2 linked regions of the Diceros bicornis minor genome follow. Each later gene encodes a partner of the first gene's protein in a complex. Links are inferred from orthologs where the notes say so. Each region holds a gene or a part of one and is shown in the gene's direction. Other genes may lie near its edges. The genes, in order: PRKAA1 and PRKAB1.

Region 1 (8,187 bases):
ACTTGGGGTGGGATGAGACCTCCCCACCCACAAAATGCATGCTTAGATGGCCCGTTAACTACTGCCTAAGAAGTTAGGGTCTGGTAACCACAGAATCTTTGTTCCCTGGGACACGGCTCCAGCATCCTCTTTCTCTCCCTTTCCACTGAAATAAATGTTGAACCAAGAATATTGTTTTGAAGGGGACCATATTACTAGCCTGAATGGAGAACCAAATTATTAGCCTATTCAAGGCATGCACATGTTTATCAGCCCCTTGTATTATCAAATTGAGTAAAAATAAGTCTAACAGCAACCAGAAACAGGACAGTCCAATTACTTCTCCCTCTCTGATAGTCTCAAGTGATCCAAGGGTACAATTAGACTATCAGCCTATCCTTCAAGCAGCCATCCAAGGATATTATTTCCCTTAACTGCTAAGAATAGGGCAGCAAGGAGTTTGGAGCTACATTTTTTGGTGAATGAATATACTTTGTGCTGCTGATCATGGATAGATCCACGTGCCTGATACTCAAGTCATTTGAGAGGGGGGCAGGGTTGACATTTTCTTGTTAACAGTAAGGAACCTAACCAGGACCAACCAACCACAGCTACCAAGAGATGGGTCAAGGGAGTCTTTGTGAACAGTGCTAAGATTTTGTCTAGGAAACAGTTCTGGGCCTAATTCTACAAGAGTAATTGAAGCTTAAAATTCATAATCATGAGGGGGTTGCAAACATTTTAACATAAAAAGATTTCAAACCCAGAGTTAGGAATCATCTACCCTAGTTAAACAGTGGACAATTATCCACAAATTAATTTTAATCACTGTAACTTCCTTGGGAGTTTCGAATATAAACTGACTGCTTTTCTTTCTGTCTCTTCCAAAGGCTTATATTAGCTTCTGGATCTTCTTAATTATCCATTCTCTCTAAGTAAGTGTTCTGTCCTTGGATCCCTTAACTCTACAAACTGGGGAGATCTCATTCATACTCACTGCCCTACTTCATCTGCCATTTGTTTGGTAATGATACCCAATCTGTATGTCTAGACTGTCATTTCTTTGGAGTAATAGCCCTGTATTACCAGTATATTCATGGATCTCTATACCTGAATGTCTCTTAGATGCCTTAATGTTACAAATAGGATTCATTCGTTCTTTCTTTTTTTTTTTTTTTTTGCTGAGGAAGATTCACCCCAAGATAACATCTATTGCCAATCTTCCTCTTTTTGCTTGAGGAAGAGTCGCCCTGAGCTAACATCTGTGCCAATCTTCCTCCGTTTTGTATGTGAATCGCCACCATAGCACGGCCACTAACAAGTGGTGCAGGTCCATGCCTGGGATCTGAACCAGAGAACCGGGGCTGCTGAAGTAGAGCATGCTGAACTTAACCACTAGGTCACGGGGCCAGCCCCTCTAACAGTTAACTTTTTCAACTCAGTAATACATGTATAAGGTTCAAAACCAAGAAGTTACAAAAGGATACACAGGGAAAAAAGTCTGCCCCTTGCACCTGACTCTTAGTCAGCCAGTTTCCCTTCCCAAAGGTACCCATAGCTATCAATTTCTTTGGTAAAGAATGCATTTCTAAAATGCATCTACTTCACATCCTCCCGTGGCTCATCACTCTCTCTAAGATAATGTCCCTGAGAAGCACATATGAGGCCTTCCAGGATTTAGTCCTGTTTCTCTCTCGTTTCTTCTAACAAGTCCCTCTGTACATTCAGATTTCATCCCCTGTAACCACTTGCTCTTCCCTGAAAAGCCTATAGCTGTGATTCTGCATATGCTCCTTCCTCACCCAGGATGCTTTCCCCAAATTCCTCTATCCCTCATGCCACCCTTTTCTTTGAGTAGAAAACACCATCTCTTAACACTCCCTTAAATATATTCAAGTTCAAGCCTTTGCGGACCCCCACAGATAAAGGTTATGCCCTCCTCTCATGATGCCCTTTGAGGACCATATATATGTTTTTATTACAGCACCTATCACATTACTTTGCCACTCGAAGGAAGATACTGTGTTCTGTTGTTTTCTGAGTCCTCAGAGTCCAGCAAACTGCCTAATACCTACTTAGTTGTTTAATAAATATTGAATATTAGTTACAATGTAACTACAACTAAGCTAAGGATATATTAGGCTGCATTAATAGCACCATAGTACTTAGAGTTTTTAGTTCTGGCCACCATATTTAGAGATAGATATTGAGGAAGTATACTATCCACCTGACAGCATAGGGTCTACTAACACTATGACGGCCTTAACAAGAAAAGAGTAAGAGGCCCACAGCTCCCTTAGAATCTCTGAAGAGCTACAGAGGAAGCAGCTCACAACTAACTCCCGAGCTCCTCCAGGAGACCAGAGGTTCTCCACCACGATATTGGGTCATCCTGGTATGTCTTCATCAGCGCTGAGATATAATGTAACGTATTTGTACTAATAAAAGCCGAAGTACTGAAGTTTTAAAACAATTTACTTTTAGCCCCCCTCTTAAACTAGAGTGGATTCAAGGTTACTTCTGTGAAGTCACTCGTCCCCACTTAAATTCCAATATACTTTGCTGAGATAGGGGTAGAGTTACAAATGATGGGTCTGGAAACTGGGTGTAAGCCACAGGTTACCTTACCTTCACTTCTACCCTGGAACAATGTTGAGCATCTGAATATTATCTATCCTGGGGGATAGGATGGGGAACGGGCATACAGAGAACTGCTATCCTAGCCTATGAGCTCCTCCAGGGTAGGGCCCATGAGTTCTCATTTTGTATCTATCCACAGTGTCTGGCAGTTAATAAATGCTTGAAGAAAGAAAGGAGTGAAGGTTTGGGGATGGATCAATGGGAGAATGAAGGGAAGAGAGAGTGGAAGAAAATGTGACAAAAACTTTTAATAAGAGATGAAGGAAAGAAAAAGCAAAGGAATAAAGGAGGCTTACTATTTACTTTCTTAGACACTGTTAATTGAATTCAATTTTTAACTCAACTTAAGGAAAAAAATAAATAAAAGCTGCTTAAACAGAGACTATGGAAGACTGGATAAGATGACCTCTAAGTTCCCACTCAATTCTTTGGTCTATGATTCTAGGTTTTATTTCCACAACAATGCTTTTGAGTGAATAGTGGCATTTAATGAATATTTATTAAATCAAATTATCATCTAAAATAACACCAACACAGAAACAAACTGATGCTTCTGCTAAAAAAAGTTTATATTACTTTCTTAATTGGGTCTTCATAGTTTCACGAAGAGATTGGCAACGGGTTTGCAAAATTCAGCTTCAGTTTGCCCCCCTGTAAGATGCTCTGTGGCTTAACTGGCAGGGTATAGAGCTGAGGTACCTTGTGATTTTTTTCTTTTAGGTTAAAAGAAATAACAGAACCTTTCTAGGCTAAATTCTAGACATGATGCAAATTTAAAGTAATTTACGGTGCTATTTCTGAGGGGAAAAATTAGTTTTTTTTTCCCCTAAGAGAATCCAGAGAGCTATTTCTGAGCTGCAGAGACTCACAAGGCAAACAAGTAAAGGTCAAGAAACCAGGGAGCAAAAATTACAACATCAACCACTGCCCGCCTCCCAAACATCTCGGTAATCACAGATTTCTTAACTTTTTGGCCCTTCAAAATATGTGCAGTCCATAATGCGGCAGGAACTGATTATTCATCCAAGGCTAGCTGTGACTCTTCTCTGCTTATTTGATGTAAGTCTAAGCTCAAAGGCTTTTGCTTTCCCTGCAGTACCTCACTTGGAAAAAAGCAGTGCTTAATGCATGTTATTTTGATTTCATAAATAGAAAGTATGTAAAAATCAGGAGAGTTGGGGAGCTTTCATTGGGAAGAAAAAAGATAACATTTTTATTCTTTTTTTTAAATATTATTTTCATGAAGAGTCCAACTCTTTGTTCATTGACTCTGGCCCAAATGCTATGACACTGCAAAACTGAGATCATATAAACTGGTTTTTTTGGCCACTTGATTTTGCCCACGTTAGAGGAACATAACTGACTGACAAACTCACTTAAAAATTCTATTACAAATAAGCATACTTTCTCCGCTTCCACTGTGATATGACATGATCCCATTTCTACAGATAATAGCTAAATCTTACTCACTGCAAGTACAATAAATATTTGCCGATTGATTTCGTTGATGCAACTGTAAGCCTCGTTTTCAGTTCCAAGTCTACATTTTACCGATAATCTAAAAGTATTAATTCCTATACATCAAAATGTCTGGGCAACATCCCACTTTCTGAACACATACATTCACACACATCCCCAACCTGCTCCTTCCAACAGAGCTTGCTTTGGCTTGCTTCGGGGAGGAAACTTCAGGAGAGCATCTAGCAAGAGGACAGACCGACGACGCTACTTGAGCTGCGGAGGTGCCCAGTACAACTTCCTGGCTCAAAGTAAAAAAAGAGTGGCGGCGGCGGCGGCGGCGGCGGGTGAGGGGGAGGGGGCACTCCATCAAAGATCCAAGTGACAACTCTCGATGACTTCCAGATTCCATCCGAACGGGACGAATGAAAAGGTTAGAAAACAGTGGCAGGGCGTTGTCCCCTGCCATGTTTCAATTCCCGCTGCACTAGTAACAAGCCACACATCTGCCCTACCCGAGTGGGCTTCTCCAGTGCTCACTCGCCCCTCGGAATCACGGGGAGAGCGGTCTCCTCGACCCAGGAGTCAGAATCAAGGGAGACCCCTGCGGGCAGAGACTCCGCTAACAGGGAAGGAGCCCAGGGGCTGCCGCCCTTCGCCACCCAGGAAGACCCCTCCCGCGCGCAGGTGGGCGGGCGCCCGGGGCCGAAGGGATGCCCGGCGAGGAAGGGGGTGCCCGCGCCCCTCGCAGCGACCCCTCCCCGGCCCGCCAGGGGGAGCGTCTGCGCCCGGCGGCCCGCGGCCGGGCCCCGGCGGGCGGCGCAGGGCGGCGGCTCGGCGCCGCGGCTCCCGTCCCGCGTCCCCACCCCCCCCCTCCCCGGCCGCCCGCCCCCGGCGCGGCCCTGCCCGCCCCCTCCGCCCCCTCCCGCGGCGCCATGCGCAGACTCAGTTCCTGGAGAAAGATGGCGACAGCCGAGAAGCAGAAACACGACGGGCGGGTGAAGATCGGCCACTACATCCTGGGGGACACGCTGGGGGTCGGCACGTTCGGCAAAGTGAAGGGTGAGGACCCCCGGCGCGAGGCTGGGCCCCAGCCCGGGATCCGGGCGGCTTGCGCCCCTCGCACCTCTTCGTCCTCCCCGCCCGCTGCGTTCCTCGTCTCCCGGGCTCGGCGGTCCCTGTCCGGGCTCCGGCGGGAGCGGAGCCCCGGGCCGCCGCGGGACTGCGGCGCGGCCCTCCGGGGCTGGGAGGGGGTGGGGTGGGGCGGGTTGCCATGGCGACGGCGCCGCGGCCCGAGGGGCTCGTCGGTGCGAGGGGCGGGGACGCGGAGGTGCGAACTTTCCCAGGCGGGGCAGTCGGGGGCTGCGCGGCGCGCCCCGAGTGCGGGGTCGGGGCGCCGGGGAGGCGGCCCCGCGTTCGCCCGGCTCTGCTCCCTCGGCGCGGGGCCAGCCCGTCGCTTCCCTGGCCGTCCTCGGCATTGTCCGTGTTTCCGTCCTCTTGAGAGGCTGTCGGCTTCCCTGCCCCGGCTGATTCTCAAGTGTGAAATAATGTGTTCCCCCCAAACTAGACTGCTTTGGGAGTAGCTTACAGATTTTCTTTTTTTTTTTAAGGGCCATCTTGTCAGAAAGGATCACTAATTTTTTTCGAAGCAGGTCATGAATTTATACCGGTCCTCTATTTGCGATGCATCGTTTATGTTCTGAAAGCAGACTCCGTGCCTTCGGTGTTTCTGAATGATCTGTTTTGCGGTCTCTCTGTGCCAAACCTGGTAGTTAGTGCAGATGTTGCCTCCAGATAGTATTTAATAGTTCATTAATGCAGTCGTTTCCATTTATTTTCACAGGATATTTACATTTTAATAAACAATTTAGTGCACATCATGTGAACCTTTTTTCTTTTCAAAGAAAGGTGCAGAATCTCTTACCCTTGTGTTTCAACACAGTATTCTGGAAATAACAAACTTGCTCTCCAGTCCGCCAATTCTGGCACAGAAAGCTTAATTGCAAACTTTGTGAGGCATAAGTATTTTTTTCTTTAAAATATTTGACTTTGTTGTTAGGGATGTAGAGGAAGGAAGTATGGAACTGATCAAAATAATTCACGCCTTGGCTTTGGATAAGTAATAGACTATGACTTGCATACGCTAAGCTCTTGGTAAATATTTGACTTGAAAGAAAAAAAAGTTTGTGAAAGTCTGTACAGTGAATTAACTAACTGAGCCTTGCTCTCCCAGAGCTAAATAAACATTTTCTGATTTTATCTAGGGATGGAAGAGGAGAACCCTTCCTTCTCTTGCCCTTTCTGAGTCATAGAACTGGAAAATTGCTGTATAGTCCACAGGGAAGCAACTGCCTAAACCTTCTTATGAAAATCAGCAAGGCCAACAATGCAAGAAAGTAAGAAGCAAATGCCAGAATAGGGTACTAACAGCTATTAGGGTGGGTCTGTATCAGGCCAGTAAGATGTTTCTGTGCCATTGAAGTTATTTATTTTTGGCTATGCTGTCTCTTGTTAGTGGTTACAAACTGCTTTTCATTTACAAGTATTGTAAGAAATGCTCATTAATACCCCCCCAAATAGTGATGACAATCTTGATGCCCTCACCCTGCCCAGAGTTCTGTTTGGATGAGGGTGCTCATCTTTCTCCTAACATAGACTTGAGCAGAGTCAGGTCTCATTTTCTTATTTGTGAGGTGGTTTTCGGCATGGCATATAAGAAAGCAAGAGGAAATTTTTCGTTTTCTGGATTTGATCTGTGGTGTGGCTGTGACATGAATCCCTTTAGTGACTGCTGTTCCTTAACCTTCACTCCTCCACATGTGACTCGCTTGAAGTATCACTCACTGTCAAAGTCAACAACCTCTCCAAATATAGAAAGGCCAATATTAGTCAAAGGATCATAGGTTTCATAGATATGATTGCATTTGTTTATAAATATCTTAGTTGATGTAGGTCAAAATCCTCAGCTAGTGCATTTTTTTAAGTTGTTAAACGATTGGGATGCTTTTTGCCCCAAGTAATAGAAAGTCCAACTCAACCTATCAAGAACATCTCTTTCTGTGGTTCTCTCTCCAGAGCAAGGAATCCCCAGCGTACCTCTCATGGGTCTCATTGGCTCATCCAGTCCCTCTGGCCAGGGGATGCCAGTTGGCTTACGCTTGTTCCTAAGTAGGCACTCGCAAGGGAGATAGCATTAGCCTTGGAGGAATGTGGCCCACTCTTGGATGTGTGTGTGTGGGGTGCATCTTCTTCTTTTTTTTTTTTTTTTGTGAGGAAGATCAGCTCTGAGCTAACATCCAATGCCAATCCTCCTCTTTTTGCTGAGGAAGACTGGCCCTGGGCTGACATCTATGCCCATCTTTCTCCACTTTACGTGGGATGCTGCCTCAGCATGGCTTGACAAGCGGTGCATCAGTGCGAGTCTGGGATCCGAACCCGGGCCTCCAGCAACGGAGCGAGCGCACTTAACCACTACACCACGGGGCCTGCCCCCATTTTCTTCTGAAGTACTTGGATAGTGTAGGGAGACAGGGTCGATACCTACACAGAAATGAGTATTAATTGTTAGGCTAGAGAAAGGGGGACATACAGTCCCCCAAATGCTTGATGAGCAGGCAAAAATAGCTACTATAGTGGTGATGGTAACTTACACTAGCCTTAATTTGACAAGACTCCTTTGAATAATACGGTTAGCTGTATGTGTCAGTGGAGACAATTCGGAGTAGATAGAACTTTTAAAATTAGTTATACATGTTGGTAAATTTAACATAGAAAAGGAATATAATAGAAGATGTGATATTGGTAGGCAGAAAAATTCCCAATATAGTGCTCTGTGCTTAGAAGAAATTTAATTTTGGGGAGGAGGGAACTGTAAATTCATAGTGATTATTTTGTTTCCTGTTACAGGCTAAAAAATCCATTGGTAACTTAATTGTAATATTTTGAGGGGAAAGTTTACACAGGCAAGTAGGATTAGTTTAGGATTATGCTTGAATTATCTTTATTATTTCCAAGGTATCTCCCCCCTCTTCCCCCAGGTGGAACAGTTATAAAAGCATGGATTGAATAGTCATGCCACTATTGCAGTAAATTAAAATGGCGGTTTTTATT
Region 2 (7,109 bases), on another chromosome or scaffold:
AGCCCAGGTGCCCTCCTTAGAAGCAGGCAACATTTCCAGGTTCCTATATAGTCTTCAGATTTTCTATACCTCTACGAGCAAATACGTAGGTATTCTTTTTTTCTCCATCCCCCTAAATGTTAGCATACTTTGAGGCCCTGGTCTGCACCTTACTTTTTGTCCTTCTTAGTGATATATCTTGAAGATTCTTCCGTGTCAGCACACAGAGTTTCCTCATTTCTTAAGGCTGCCATTGCATGAATATGCCGTGATTTATTTGACCAGCCCTCTGCTGGTGGACACGTAGGCTGTGTCCAACAGTTTCCTCTTGCAGATATTGCAATGGATTACTTTATCCATTCATCATTTTGCATGTGCATGAGTATATCTGTAGGATAAACCCCTGGAAGGAAAATGTTTGGGTCAAAGGGTGAGGACCTTTTAAATTTTCCTAGAAAGTGTCAAACTTTCCTTCATGATGGTCAGACTGAATTACACTCCCAGCAGCCCTGGATGAGAGTCATGACGGGATTCTAATTCAACCTGAAAAGCGGCATCATGTGGAAGGACCATGATGTGGTTGGTGGGAAGTCGCCAGACCGTGAGCCAGGCGATCCCGTGTCCAGTCTCAGCCCAGCCTGTGATCATCCGAGTGGTCTGTGCAAATGGTTTGGCCTCTGAGCCTCAGACGCCCCCTTATATAAAACCAACAGGTTGGTGGGTCCATAAGTACCATGCTGATTCCAATCCGTCCTCAGGAGGAAGACTCAAAACATTATCCTTAGCCCTTTTAGTCACAGGTAAAGGATAAATCAGATTTTATCTGGCTCTAGAGGAGACTTTTAAGGACTTGGAAATCTGTTTCTCTCTGGACTTAGGGTTTTGAAGGCAGGGTTAGGCTGGGCTCCTGGCAATTGCCCTGGTTTGGGGAGAATTTGTGATATCTTATCATCTGTCTCTGCCTTGACTCCAGACTGAGCCCGGAGAGCAGAGGATGCCTCTGACACAGTGATGCCCTAACTTTTCTACCTCCTGGAACATCCCTGCCCTCCCTTCCACCCACCTTCCGGCCCCTGGAACAGAGTGGTCTGACACCCACACCAGCAAAGAATCAGGGAAAGAAGAGGCATTTCTGATGCTTGGGAGAATGGTGAACCATTGTTAAATAAGGATAAGTAACACAAGTGACCCGTGAGAGACACAGCTGGGATCCAAGTGGACACTTGTAATTGCAGAGTCTACCCTACTTCAGATTTTCAATATGGGGCCAATAGCTGATACCAATGTTAGTTTCTCTGTCCATGAAGTCTTAATACAACATGGCAAGACTCCCCCATCAGCAGATACACAGACCCCTTGTTATACTCAATCTCTTTGAGATCTCCCCAAATGTGCCCCCAAGTCAGTTTTGAGAACACAATGTAGCATCATAAGTCAGACTGTCCCAAACATATCCTCCAAATTTGGTGTAAATCCATCCATCTGCTTTCACATGATGCAATAACAAAGAGACACAAATTCAAAACTAAAAAAGTGAGCTCAATGAAAGCTAAAATGGTCCTTTCTGAAATTTTAGTGTGGTTTCCCAGAATATAATTGTGTGTCCCTATTGTGTCGTGTGGCACACGCCCTACATAAGAAAAGATCTTACACAGCTAACTCTGCTTCTCAGCTTCAGATGTTTCTGTTGGAGAGAGGCCAGGGCCACTGCTAGTCTGTATGGCATATTTGTACAAATTAGAAAAAGGCACCTGTTCCTCCGGGCAGGTGGAATCTCAGGACCTACTTGCCTCCTCCAGCAGACACCCCTGGGCAGGTCACATCTGTACAATCCCAGTAACTGGGCTGTCTCATTGTCTGAACACCATTGAAAGCATCCTCAGGATATCACTTATCTGAGCCAGAGTAGAAGTCTTGAAAATTTCTTCATGAGCGAGAGCATCTGCATAGCTCCGATTAGGGGTCCACAACTCATGTGTTCTTCCTTCTCTCTCAAGTTGTTTGGGAGAAAACTCAAAGCTCAACATCTTCGTGTCCATGGCTTCCTCGCTGCCTATTGCAAGCAAGAAAAACAGCTCAAAGAATGTATTCTGGGTTATCTGCTAGCCTGGCTGAAGTCCCTTCTGGGCTCCCGTAGAACCCCTTGCCTGCATGTATTATTGCCTTTTTGTGAGTCTGCTTCCACCTCTACTTTGTGAATTCCTCTGGGGCTGGAACCATGTGTTGTTTATTTTTGTCTTTTAAAAATTGTTTTTAAATTACAAAAGTAGGGCCCACCCGGTGGTGTATCAGTGAAGTGCGTGGGCTCCACTGCTGGCGGCCCGGGTTCGGATCCCGGGCACACACCAACGCACCGCTTGTCAGGCCATGCTGTGGCGGTGTCCCATATAAAGTGGAGGAAGATGGGCACAGATGTTAGCCCAAGGCCAGTCTTCCTCAGCAAAAAGAGGAGGATTGGCATGGATGTTAGCTCAGGGCTGATCTTCTTCACAAAAAAAAAAAAAATTACAAAAGTAGTACATCCTTACAATAGAAAAATTTTCAAACAATAAATTAAAAAGTCAAAGTTCCCTTTCTATCTGCTCCTGTTTCCAATACCGCTCCTCTCCCCAGAGGGGACCACTATTAGCAGCGTGTTGTAGCTCTTTCCAGAACTTTCCATTTGCAAGACTAATGATGCCAATAAAAGTGCTAACGTTTACTGAATGTTTACTAAGAGTCACGTGCTATGCTAAGCACTTTTCATGCATGTTCTCAATTAAATCACAAAGCAAGCCTATAAGATAGGCGTTGTTTTTATTCCCCATTTCACAAAAGAGGAGAACAAGGGGACAGTTACTAAGTGGTCAAGCCAGAACTTGAACTCCTGCAGGCTGACTTTAGAGCTCATGATCTCAACCCCTGTTGTTCTGCCATTTGCTTTTGGGATTTGGAATGTCACAGACACCTCTCCATAGTTACCCACATAATTCTATTTCCTCCTTTTTAAAAGTTGCTCAGTATTCTATAAAATGAATCTATTTAATTCATTTAGCCATTCTCCTACTGACAAGCTTTTTAGGATTTTGCAGTTTTTCAGTTCCTTATTTCATCAAATCTAAGATTCTATTGATTGTAAGAAGCACCTAGCTTCAGAGACAGTAAAACGTAAAATAAAATGTGCGTCTTAGAATTAACGTATTATGGCATTAGAGACAATGCTGCAAATGAATATGCTTGCATGTAATTTTCACATGTATATTTCTGTACAAGTTTCCTGGAAGTAAAATTGTGCGCCAAAATGAAGGCGCATTTTTAATAAATAAATGCATTTTATGCAGAATGATGTGTCTAAAGTGACTACAAAGTATCTTGTAAAATTACCTATCAAAAGGCTGTGTACTCAATTTTTGAAGAATATGCTACTAACTCCAACGGTTAACAACCCCCAAGCTACCAGACCTGAGAAATTTCCAGAGATCTTATGGTCTGTCATTTTCTCAAATACCTACAAGACTACCTGCATCAGAATCATCTGGAGTGCTTATTAAAATGCAGACCCCACTCCAGAGCTTCCGAATCATAATTTCCGGGGATTAGGACCAGGAGAATCTGCATTTTAAACAGGCACCCCAGGTGATTCTAAGGCACTCAAAGGCGTGAGAGTTAGCAAATTAAAGGGCTTTCAGAAGAGGAGTCTCTTAATTAGATTTGCCCTTTAGAACGACCTCTTTGGCTGTAGAGTGTAGAATCAACTGGAAGTCGGCAAAGATATCATATCTAAGACATCTAATAGCATCACTCATCTCTGCGCGGGAAGACCGGCCCAGAGGCCCGACGCGCTGGTGCGCCCCCTGCCGGCCTTCAGCGGCCTCGTCCTGGGCAGGCCGGAGCGGCCGACTGCGACTGCGCGCTCCGAGGCCAGCGGAGGCCGCCTCACTGCGCTTGCGACTGCGCCAACCCGAGCCGGAAGCGGAAGTGAGCTCGAGGTGGCCTCGCGCGCTTCGCTGGCCGCAGCCGCCCGCGCTTGGCGGGCCCGGCCGACCTCCGGAAGCGCTGGAAGCGGAAGTTCTGAGAGGTGGGGGTGTTGTTGGGGAAGTGTGGGGTTATCTTCGAGCTCCTAGAGCTCGCGCCGGGGCTGCTGGAGCAGATAAAGCGCGGCTGGGAGACCTCGCCAGCCCTGCTGACCCGGCTCCAGCCCGGCTCCGAACGCTAGCTCGTGGGGTGTGCAGGCCGGTCCTCCGACTCTTTCCCTAGGGTCCTTGTGACCCCCTGGCTCCGGGAGTCCCCTGTCCCTTCCCGGAGTCCCCGCGGACCCCCGCCATGGGCAACACGAGCAGCGAGCGCGCCGCGCTGGAGCGGCAGGGCGGCCATAAGACGCCGCGAAGGGACAGCTCGGGGGGCGCCAAGGACGGGGACAGGCCCAAGATCCTCATGGACAGCCCCGAGGACGCCGACCTCTTCCATCCCGAGGAGATCAAGGTGAGAAGGGGTGGGGAGTCGATTCCCCTTGACCTAGGCTGAGGGGAGGAACCCGCTCCTAGATTCCCCGCCACATCCCGTCTAAAATTCATCATCAGAAGGGGGAGGGAGGTGATACTTGACTCCGTGCACTTAAAACTCCGTAAGATCCCTCTTAGCAGTCCAAGAACCGGTATCTAATTACCGATGCGAGAAAGTCACCCTGAGGGAGGAGGAGGAACTCACTTTGTTTAACATTATTAAGGAGAAAGCAGCTCTGGGACAGAGTTTCGAATTCTTAATTAATTAAGATCGTCGAGTTAGCAGTAATTGAGCCCCAGCCTCTGCTTTTCTCTTAGGTGTAATTAATTTCATAGCTTGGAGAAATCTTCCCTCGCCTTCAGGCAGGCTGGCGCTTTTTGTAGTAGTTGCTTTTGCAGTTTCTTGTCAATTTTGGAGACACACCAGGGCACACGTGTAAGCTGGAAGCAGAGTGGAGCAGCTGACGGCAGTTGCCAAAGGTGTTTAGTTCTGCCTGAAACTTGGGGCTCACTCACCCTGCTCCTTTAGAGTGGGCGTACAAAAATGATTCAGCTTCTGGAGGTCAGGGGGTGAGTGAAGTGTCATTCTGAAGGAGGCGGCTAGGTGCTACTCACCTTTCCCTGTTGTTTAAATTTGACTTAATATTTTAAATAAGCCAAAGCAAACATTTTTGCAGGCCAGATGTGGACTTCCTGCTGCCGTCCACTTTATTCATCAGGAGCTCTGAAGACAATTATTGACTCCTGCTCACCACCTGATGTGGTCTGTTGCCAGCTGCAGGGCCTGGTCCAAGGACACTCAGTGATTCTGGCAGCTGTTATGTATGTGGTAGAGCCTAAACAACAAAGAACTAATTCCTTAAAGGACAAGGAACAAACTAGGTTTAGGAATGATGAAGGTGCCCCCCTGCCCAACTTTGGCCTGCGAAAATGTTTGCTTTGGCCTATTTAAAATATTAAGTCATAATCTCTGTAGTATCCAGTTGCATATTAATCATCATTATCCATTAGGCTAATTGCCTGGCAACTCATTCCAACTTGACTCACATTTTTTCTCATCTTGGGCTGGGTGATCATGTTGTTATTATATCCTCACTTGGATCTTGGCTTTGAGACTATAGAGCCTGCTTTTACTTGGCCCTACATCCTGTGATTTGAACTTGCTTTCTGAATTTGTTGTATTTCTGAAAAGCTGTGTGCAAAGTGAACTTGGGAGTCCAGATACTTCTGTGACTTGGCATCCCTTCCCCCAGAAATACTTTTGGCCAAGGACAGCTGTCTAAGACAGACACCATAAGAATCAAACTACTTTCTTCAAGAAGCGTTTGTTGTTCTGTTGCTGTTCCAAAACTCGTGTAAGAAATGTTGAGCGTACAGATGATCTGTGGAGCATGATTGTAAATAGTGTCCATTTCCATATCCTCATAAGTTACTGAAATGATGTAGCAGACACACTGGATTGAATGCCCCCGATACCAAAAAAACTGCCACAGATTCTATGGTTAGTTATCATGTCCTCAGTGCAAAGTGACTCTGGAAAATCGGTTATTCTTTAATCTGTAGATCTTGTTAAAGCTCAAAGAATGCAAGCATCTTTTAAGATAAGCTTGGGTCAATATTTGAAATGAAGGTGCTAGAAGCCTGTCTGACATCTTTAAGGGTCTGTCCCAGCCTGGAACTCCTGTTCTTTTAAAGTCTTTGGCTTCTGATTAGGAAAAATGTAAAAGATCCAGAACCACATATATTTCACCCAGACAGAGTTGGACGTGTTGATTTCTCTCTTATTTTGGAATACCTTGGTTATACAGCACTTCCCACACTAGAACTTATTGTTTACCATAATGAGGGTCAGTCTTTGTCTTATTTATCTTGTTCTCCCCAGTGCCTGGACGGCACTCAGTGAATAGTTTTTCCTTTCCCCAGAATCTGGATTTGCTAGTTTTCAGGTTGACATCTCTGTAATTGTCCCTAATAAATTTTCACGTCCTTCAAATCTTGCTTAATTAAGGGAGGAGAATGATGTTTATTAAGCTAGTCTTGGATTCACTGCAGCCTTCTTCCCAGTCAGTTTTATAGTTTCTCCTAGAATTGTGATGTAGACTTTTTTAATAACAATAGTAATAGCTAATAATTATTAAGCACTTAGGATGTGTCATAGTATGCAGAGCATTTTACATGGGCTATCTCTGTCTTCACAACAACCTTAAGAAATGGGTATTTTTATTATCTCCATTTTGCAAGTGGGGAGGCTGAGTCACAGCTGATAATTTAACGAGCCCAAATATGAACCAAGGTCCTAACAACTGCCTCTTTAGAATGAATTGTCAATATTAGGGTAACTGTCTATGGTTGGGATCTCATTAATGGCTTCCTGTCCCTGAGTAAACTGTTCTGTTTCTAGGCTCCAGAGAAGGAGGAATTCCTGGCCTGGCAGCATGATCTGGAAGTGAATGATAAAGCCTCTGCCCAGGCTCGGCCAACTGTATTTCGATGGACGGGGGGCGGAAAGGAAGTTTACTTATCTGGGTCCTTCAACAACTGGAGTAAACTTCCCCTCACAAGAAGGTAATTGCCTGGGGAGTATGCATGTATTTGTCTTAACCCATCGATATTCTTGTTTCCAAATGATTTCTGTGGATGAATAGAAAA

The links.
Region 2: the proteins of PRKAA1 (region 1) and PRKAB1 are in contact, whole or in part, in a crystal structure (PDB 6C9H), measured with the Homo sapiens proteins. The link is inferred for Diceros bicornis minor from reciprocal best matches to the Homo sapiens genes PRKAA1 and PRKAB1. Residues at the interface, in NP_006242.5 of Homo sapiens: Gly20, Val22, Lys23, Ile24, Thr32, Lys40, Lys42, Asn59, Arg60, Ile63, Arg64, Val69, Ile72, Arg73, Ile76, Gln77, Val93, Ser95, Thr96, Pro97, Ser98, Asp99, Ile100, Phe101, Met145, Met175, Ser176, Asp177, Gly178, Glu179; in NP_006244.2 of Homo sapiens: Pro79, Val81, Arg83, Leu103, Pro104, Thr106, Val113, Ile115, Asp159, Phe160, Glu161, Val162, Phe163, Ala165, Leu166, Met167, Val168, Asp169, Ser170, Gln171, Arg201, Ala202, Pro203, Pro204, Ile205, Leu206, Pro207, Pro208, His209, Leu210.

Annotation. Positions count from the first base shown.
Region 1 is NC_080759.1:29,093,110-29,101,296, forward strand, and holds the start of PRKAA1 (5'-AMP-activated protein kinase catalytic subunit alpha-1), read left to right. Parts: upstream 1-4,961; 5' UTR 4,962-5,012; coding exon 5,013-5,139; intron 5,140-6,341; exon of another isoform or gene 6,342-6,463; coding exon of another isoform or gene 6,464-6,473; intron 6,474-8,187. UniProt on the Homo sapiens protein: Catalytic subunit of AMP-activated protein kinase (AMPK), an energy sensor protein kinase that plays a key role in regulating cellular energy metabolism.
Region 2 is NC_080774.1:16,327,335-16,334,443, forward strand, and holds the start of PRKAB1 (5'-AMP-activated protein kinase subunit beta-1), read left to right. Parts: upstream 1-4,083; 5' UTR 4,084-4,281; coding exon 4,282-4,440; intron 4,441-6,861; coding exon 6,862-7,025; intron 7,026-7,109. UniProt on the Homo sapiens protein: Non-catalytic subunit of AMP-activated protein kinase (AMPK), an energy sensor protein kinase that plays a key role in regulating cellular energy metabolism.